Callithrix jacchus: one gene and its partner. The protein of the gene in region 2 purifies or fractionates together with the protein of the main gene of each other region. This does not show direct contact. Links are inferred from orthologs where the notes say so. Each region holds a gene or a part of one and is shown on either strand. Other genes may lie near its edges.

The links.
Region 1: the proteins of SOST (region 2) and LRP5 purify together in Homo sapiens (affinity purification with mass spectrometry; 3 studies listed by BioGRID and IntAct, counting the BioPlex papers as one, with this or other methods). This does not show direct contact. The link is inferred for Callithrix jacchus from reciprocal best matches to the Homo sapiens genes SOST and LRP5.

Annotation. Positions count from the first base shown.
Region 1 is NC_133511.1:125,303,284-125,307,088, reverse strand, and holds part of LRP5 (low-density lipoprotein receptor-related protein 5), read right to left. Parts: intron 475-3,805; coding exon 266-474; intron 1-265. UniProt on the Homo sapiens protein: Acts as a coreceptor with members of the frizzled family of seven-transmembrane spanning receptors to transduce signal by Wnt proteins.
Region 2 is NC_133506.1:70,627,136-70,631,431, forward strand, and holds the start of SOST (sclerostin), read right to left. Parts: upstream 2,895-4,296; 5' UTR 2,848-2,894; coding exon 2,628-2,847; intron 1-2,627. UniProt on the Homo sapiens protein: Negative regulator of bone growth that acts through inhibition of Wnt signaling and bone formation.

The DNA of each region.
Region 1 (3,805 bases), on a different chromosome or scaffold from region 2:
AACTGCAACTCCCGTTGGCTAGCGCTGCCTCGTAACCCCTCAGCAGAGCTACCCCTTCCCTTCCAGCCCTCGGGGCTTTCTGCTTCCCTGGAGGGGCTGTGAATGAGTTTGTGTTTGCTCCTGGGATACTGGAAAGCCACCCACTGGATCACTGGGGTGGAAAATCCTCCCAGCCTGGGAGAGGCTGACACTCCCTATGGAAGACATGGCGGGCGTACCTGGGTGGGGCGCGGCACCCCTGCCCACCCAACCATTGGCCTCCTACCCTCGCTCTGCGTTGACGACGATGGCCCTGGGCTTGTCGCGGTCTCCACGCAGCACCACCCCAATGGCTTCCCCGCTCAGCCTGTGGACGTTGATGGTGTTGGTGGCCTCACATGTCCAGAACAGCGTCCGGCTGTAGATGTCGATGCTGAGGTCGTGGGGCTGCCTGTCTGGGTTTTGGGCTTGGCTCAGAGAGGTCAAAACAAAGGGCTGTAAGACAAAGAAACCGAGACAGAGTCGTAAGCACTGGCAGAGACCCCAGGTACTGGTAGAGGCCCCCAGGCACTGGCAGAGATCCGTGGGCACTGGCGGAGACCCCTGGGAACTGGCAGAGACCCCCCAGACACTGGCTGGAAACCCCCGGGCACTGGCGGAGACCCCCGGGGCACTGGCAGAAACCCCAGGCACTGAAGGAGACCCCCCAGACACTGGCTGGAGACCCCCAGGCACTGGCGGAGACCCCCAGACACTGGCTGGAAACTCCCAGGCACTGGTAGAGACCCCTGGGCACTGGCTGGAGACCCCCGGGGAACTGGCAGAGACCCCGGGCCACCCCCTCCCCAAGGGAAGGAGGCCAGGTATGGGGTAAAGGGCAGGTGATGGTGGGGGACAGGTGAGAGTGAGGGACTAGGTGAAGGGGGGGAAAGGTGACAGTGCAGGGTCGGGTGAGTTGAGCAGGTGAGGGTATAGGGCAGGTGAGGGTCCAGAGGCTAGTACACATGCAGGGTAGGGGAGGTGAGGCTGGGGGCCAGGTGAGGGTGGGTGGGGCAGGTGAGTGTACAGAATGACCCGTAGCCCCTCTTGGGAAGGCAGCCACATCTCTCAGTGGCTCTCAAGAACTCTCCCTCCCCATACTGTCCACGGTCACCACCCAGGAGATCCTCTGAGTGCTGCCTGAGCCCAGGCCACCCTCTGCATCTCAGGGATGAGCCTGGGCTCTTGGAGCCTGTGACACAGCATCCCTTCAAAGGGATCTTACTGAACTGATGTAGGAGGAGGGGACGGCCCAGAAGCCTACTGCCCCTCGGGATCTGGTCTCTTTGGGTTACCCTGAAAGACAGCTGCATCCAAGTTCCCGACCGAGTGACAGCCTGGAGCACCTGGGCTGCTGCCACTCAGGCCTGAAGGAAAAGCTCCCCTCCCTTTCCCTTGAGTCATCATCTTAGGATGGGGCTCTGACTGTAAGTTTTTTCAGACTTTCTTTATCTAGGTCTTTCAGCAGTTAATAAAACAGGGAGGCAGCAGCGGCTCACACCTGCCATGGGGAAACTGAAGTGGGAGAATCACTTGAGCCCAGGATTTCAAGACAATTCTGGGCAACATAGCAAGATCCCATCTGTATCAAAAAAAAAAAACCTAAACCAACCAACCAAAAAAAAAAAAAAACCACTAGCTGGGTGTGGTGGCACACACCTGTAGTCCCAGCTACTCAGGAGGCTGAGGTGGGAGGACTGCTTGAGCCTGGGAGGTTGCGGCTGCAGTGAGCTGTGCTCATACTACCACACCCCTGCCTGGGTGACAAAGTAAGACCCTGTCTCGAAAATATGCAATTAAAACAAACTCTCCAAGAAGATAAAAAGAAGCTTCTTCCCAGGTCCAGTCTCTTGGACCCAGATGGAAAGGGTGCATCCCTCCCCTGTCCCCCACCCCCCGCCCCACACACAGAGCAGCCTCTGGTCCAGCCTTGCTGGGCACCTGCAAAGACATCATCACTGTCATCTGGACACAAAGGACCACGTGTCTTTGTAGAAAGCAACATCCACATCACCGCAGAGCTGTGGACCCCAGGGGGCTGTGCGTCAACACCAACTGAACAAATTCTTTCCTAAAAGTCACAGAGCTCCCTAGCTGGGGACTCTGGCCTGGCACAGCCACCAGGCTGGAAGACAAGCAAGATTCCAGTTACCCTGGCCAAAATCAGGCTCACCGTGGAGGGCGGGTCTGTGGGAACCAGATGCAAAACCAGACTTTGGGACGGCAGTCTGGAGAAAAGCCATCTGAGAAACGCGTACTGTGCCACACAGTACATGACACCCCGGCCACACTCCTCCCGGCACAAAACAGCACAGCAAACTTTACACAGCTGGCCAGTTTCGTAAACCCTGAGCTCTCGTTTTAATGAAGTACAAATACTTGTGGTTAACACAAACTTTCTTACGTGTGGCACCACAAGCAACGCGACTTTTCCTCACTAGTACGAAAACTTCCCCACGGAAGGAAATGTCCATAGCAGCCTTATTCATGGCAACTATGAGGTGGAAGCAACCGAGCACAGACAGGCAAATAACAAGATGTGGTCCATCTATCCACAGACTGACATATCCTTTTTCTTTTCTTTTTTTTTTTGAGGAGTTTCACTCTTGTTGCTCAGGCCAGAGTGCAATGGTGTGATCTTGGCTCACTGTAACTTCCTGGGTTCAAGTGATTCTCCTGCCTTAGCCCCCTGAGTAGATGGGATTACAGGCACCTGCCACCACGCCCAGCTAATTTTTGTATTATTAGTCGAGACGGGGTTTCACTGTGTTGGCCAGGCTGGTCTCCAACTCCTGATCTTGTGATCTGCCTGCCTTGGCCTCCCAAAGTGCTGGGATTACAAGCATGAGCCACCGCGCCTGGCTTGTTTTTGTTTTGAGACAGAGTCTCACTCTGTTGCCCAGGCTGGAGTGCAGTGGCACAACCTTGGCTCACTGCAACCTCCGGCTCCTGGGTTCAAGCAATTCTGCCTCAGCCTCCCAAGTAACTGAGATTACAAGTACACACCACCACACCTGGCTAATTTTATATCTTTAGCAGAGCCAGGGTTTCACTATGTTGGCCAGGCTGATCTCGAACTCCTAACCTCAAGTGATTTGCCCACCTCGGCCTCCCGAAGTGCGGGAATGACAGGGTGTGAGCCACCACGCCAGGCCTTTCAGTGAGTTATTATCCAGGCTTTCAGGAAGGAAGTTCTGACACAGGCTACAACACAGATGCACCTTGAGGACATCATGCTATGTGAAAGAGGCCAGTTATGGAAGGGCAAATATGGATAATTCCAATTATCTGAGGTACGTAGAGAAGTCAGAGAGAGACAAAAGTAGAACGGTGGCTGTCGGAGGGAAATGCGGAGTGGGGGTTCCAAGCAGACAGTTTCAGTGCGAGAAGGTGAAGTGGTCTGGGGATGGATGGCAGTGACGGCTACAATGTGAACTGAATGCCAGTTAACCGTCAACTCCAAAACAGGTCAAACAGGCCAGGTGCGGTGTGGCTCACGCCTGCCGTCTCAGCACTTTAGGAGGCCGAGGTGGGCAGATTGCTTGAGTCCGGGAATTCAAGCCCAGCCTGGGCAACATGGTGAAATCTGTCTCCATATAAAATACAAACAATTAGCTGGGTGCGGAGATGCATAACTTAAGCCCGGGAGGCAGAGGCTGCAGTGAGCCAAGAGTAACTGCACCACTGGACTCCAGCCTGGGCAACAGAGCGAGACCCTGTCTAAAAAAATTAAAATAAACAAAAAAAAAAGGCCAGGCGCAGTGATTTACATCTTTAATCCCAGCAC
Region 2 (4,296 bases):
TGCAAAGCCCGCCTCTCCCGGTCTCCAGAGGTTTTTGCCCCTGAACACCTATTGCAGGAAGGTCCCAGATCCTCTAGAGCTGGTGGAAAGCTCTCCTGCGCACCCTGTCTCCTCAGAGCCAAATGGCTGCTGGGGTGCAAACACCAGGGCTATCGCTCACTGCAGGTGGCATCTTGGGCAAGTTCCTTAACCTCTCTCTTCCAGTCTGTAAAATGGGCTGCCCCAAGCATTGTGAGTTAATCCATTAGGCACGCAATGCAGAGAATGCCATTTGGCACACACAGCTGGAAGCATCAGCTGTTATTATGTATTATTATTATTTCTCTCCTACGGGTCCTCTTATGATTTAAGCCACACTTATGCCGCAGGGACCCTGGCCTGGGCAGGGTAAGTAAGTACTCGCCACACCTTCTGCCTGGCTCTGGCTTTTCCCAAATTCCTTTCCCAGCCACTTGGGGGGAGGTGAACAGGAGATGAAGAAAGGAGTAGAGGTTAATTGAAGGTAATAAATCAGGGCAGCTGCTGTGGAGGTGACAGAAGGGGAGGTGATCAGGATAGGAATTCATTAGACTTGAAAGGAATCAAAGGCACAGTGTCCAACCCTCTCGTTATCAGTAAGAATACTGAGGCCCAGCCACAGAAAAGAACGTGCCCAAAAGACAGGGCTGTGTGATCCAGACTTCACTTCCTGGGGTCGCAGCACCTTTTGGCTCCCATAAGAGTGGAGGCTGTGCGTTCGAGCACTGGTGGGAGGCTGGGCTGGGGGACAGAGCTGAGGGCTGCTTTTTGCTCTAGTAGAGGCCTCAACTCTGACCAAAACCTACAGGTGCAGCAGCCACATACATTCACCCAGCTGTCTGCTGGGCACATTTCTTGTTCTGTGTTATTTGAATGGGCACCTCATGGTGATACTCCCTGGGCGGGCGGAGATTGGGTTTGGAGGAATGGCCTGATCCCCTGAGAACACCTTGACCATGTCTCCTACTGTGGACTTGGGTGGGAGCTTTTTAAATAGCTGGTCCTTGTGTGAGTACCAGTCCACCCCCAGAGGTTTCATGGGGATAGTTCCGATGTGACATGAAAGAATCAAAAATAGTCTTCAGACCAAACCAGAGAGGGGGCAGAGAAGGCCACTCCCACCCTACCCCCACTCTGAAGAGCAAGCACAGCAGGGGAGATGTGGCCACTGCCATCGTCTGGGGTTGCTTTCTGGTTTGCACCCTCACCTTTGTAGGGCTGGGATGTGTACTGGGGGGGCCTTTGCCCAGGGAAGGGGGCATTTTGGGGCTTTCCAAGAATAGTGCCCTTAGGTCAGTCACTTCCTCTGCAGATTGTGACTTTGTTTTGAGCATGTGGCTTCCTCGGGGCCGTGGCGCCTCAGGGAAGCCCAGCAAGGTGGACAGCTTGTGTTTGGGTTCCCTACAGCCCTTCAGGCAGTCACTGGAGGCCAGCTGACCTTGCCTAGAAGGGGGGCTGTGGGAGGAGGCACCTTTGCCCTCCATTTCAAAGGCACAGGGTCCTGGCTGGCCTCCCCTGTGGTGGCCCTTTTTAGCACCCCATAACCCCAACATGTTGTGAGGCAGAGAAGGCTGGGGTGCAGGAGCCTGGGCAGTGGGCTTCTCTGCCACCTGGATAATGGCCAGAGGGCAGTGAAGCCCTTGGTCTGAAGTGTCACTCCTGTCCCCACCCACAGCCCCGTGATTCCTGCCAACCGTAGAAGCAAATGTGCACACTGTCAACTGGGCTTCTCTGTGCAGGCCTGACAGGAACCTGTCAGGGTTCTCCTTTCCTTCTCCCTCCCCTGGAATGAGGCAAGGCTGGGACTGGGCTGGCCACTGAGGACAGATGTGCCTACTCCGGCACAGAGGATGCTGTGTGCCCTCTAGGACCTGGACACTGCTGCACCCATGTCAGGGGCTAAACCTGTGCCGACAATGCCCATTCCTTCAAATGCCAGCTCCCTGGGCAGGCCATGGGCAATGCACACTGCAGGGGTGCCTCTCTGGCCTTCCTCCCCACTGCTTTGTGGGGATCTGTCCCCAGCACACCTGCACACCAGGGCTGTCTTGCAGTTGAATCAAACCAAGTTCTTCTCCTCACTACCAAGTTACTGAGTGCCTGGAACCTGTTTCTTTCCCTTTGAGCTGGGGGTTCACCTCCTGGGATTCCTGTGTGGTGGGGACAGCCACAGGCAGCATAGAGTGTCTGGCACCCCACAGTTGCTGCTCTGTGGATGGGAGGCTCCCTCACCTTGTTCCCTCCCCAATGGTACCAGCAGTTGAACGTGGTTCCTATATTCCCAGGAGGAGATTCTTTGAAACCTTTTCTTTTTTGAGCCCCTGAGCCTGTTCTGATGCCCTGATGCCATACCCTCACCACCCCAGCCTCCTCCCTGCCCTGGACTCTCACTGACAGACTCCACCTGGCCTCATGCCCCTGCACCTGAATTCAAAGGCTGCACCAGAGCCATCCTTCCCCCGCCTCCAGTCAAAACTGTTCTTCCACCAGTGCTGGCAGAGGCCAGCAGTCTTCACTGGGTCTACCCCAGTCTTCAAAGCCTCCCAAAGAGAAGTTTCTAAAACCTCCCCAGGACCCTTTTACTAGGAATTCTCTCCTCCACCCCATACCTTTGGTCTCAAAAGGGTGGTGGGGAGGCCGCCCTCCGTTCTCCGCCCGGTTCATGGTCTTGTTGTTCTCCAGCTCTGGTGGAGGCTCGGGGTACTCTCCCAGCTCAGGGATGATTTCCGTGGCATCGTTCTTGAAGGCCTGCCACCCCTGGGCCTCCACCACACAGAAGGCTGCGTGCACCAGCAGGCAGATGAGACATAGGGCTAGAGGGAGCTGCATGGTGCCAGCCAGAGGAGGGCACGCAGCCTTCCAGTAGCACAGGCTCTGGTCCCCAGCCGAGACACGGTTGCCTTTTTAAAGCCCCCCTCTGCCTCATGCCAGCCAATGAGGACAGGCTGGGGCAGGGCTGGTCCCCTGTTTCCCTCAGCCCCGGGGGGAGGGAAAGGGGTGTGCTCAGGGCAAACCCTCCCTAAAGACTTCTCCTCTAGCTCAGCAAACTTCCAAATTGCTGCTGGCACTCCCAGGTGACCCAGAGAGAGGGGGCGTGTGAGGCTTGGCCCAAGCCTGCTCTCCAGCACCTCCCACGTGCTGGTGGCTGTGGTTTTCAGATATCAAAATGAGCTCCGGCTTTTAATTGTCCCTGGGCCCTCAGGCATTCTCAAAACAAGCCAAGTTCATTTGCCACCCCACCAACAAATGGCCCACAGGGTGTCTGTTTGACCCCCATAGACCCAGCCAGAGGCAGAAAGATGCTTTTTAAGAAATCCCATTGGTCCCAACTCCACAAGTCTCAGCACTGACTGTCCTGACCAAGGAAGCCTCTCTCTTGGCATTTTCTGGAAGGCAAGAGAGAGAACTAGAGGGCCAGAGCAAGGGTGGCCACTTGGGAGAGGGGACAGGACTCTGGTTACGAGTGGAGGATGTGCTGGTCACTCAGGCTCCCGTGATGTGGCTCACAGAGGAAATCCCAGCTCACGCTCCTCAGGGATCCTGTGCACCGCGACAGGCATGACAGGCACTTCCAAGCCAGGACCCTCACTGTGGCTCACAGGGGGATGGGCTGAAGACAGTCATTTCCCAGCCAGGCTGTGGGTGCGAGCAGATAACACCAAATTCCTTTCCTTAGCAAAAGCTATGGCCAGCATTTTTTAGTGCTGACATTTTTTTTTCTCGCCTTCCATCCGGTTACATTTTTCAAAAACAGTTTCTGGTCCTATATGGGAATCTTCATTGGTGCATACCACAGGTTGTGTTCCATGAAGCCACCCCAGGACCAACCAGTCACAAAGCAGCTAAGAGAAACTTGGCTCTGCATAGGATGAGGGGCACAGGACCCGGGGGCAGGTAGAGGCAGTGGGGAGAAAGGTTCACGCCTGAGGTGCAAGAATAGAAAGGAGGGCAGGAGGAAGCTTTCATTGAAGACAGATTCTTTGAGGATGAGCAGCTCCTGGGAAGAGGCTGCCCAGATCCTCCTGGTATTTTAACTGGGCAATGAATGAATCAGTACGCCCCACCTGCAGAGCCTCTGCAAGGCCTTTGCCACCTGCCTCAACTTGCAAGTGGCTGTGTCCATCTGCAGCTGACTGTTGTCCTTTCCATCATCCATCACCTGACACATGAATGCAGCTGCTCTGACAGTTTTACAAGCCAGACAGAAGCCCCCTCAGGAAGGGCCCTCTCTGATACCTGCTTCCTAAGTCAGTTTCCTTCAGGGCAAATGAAAACAGC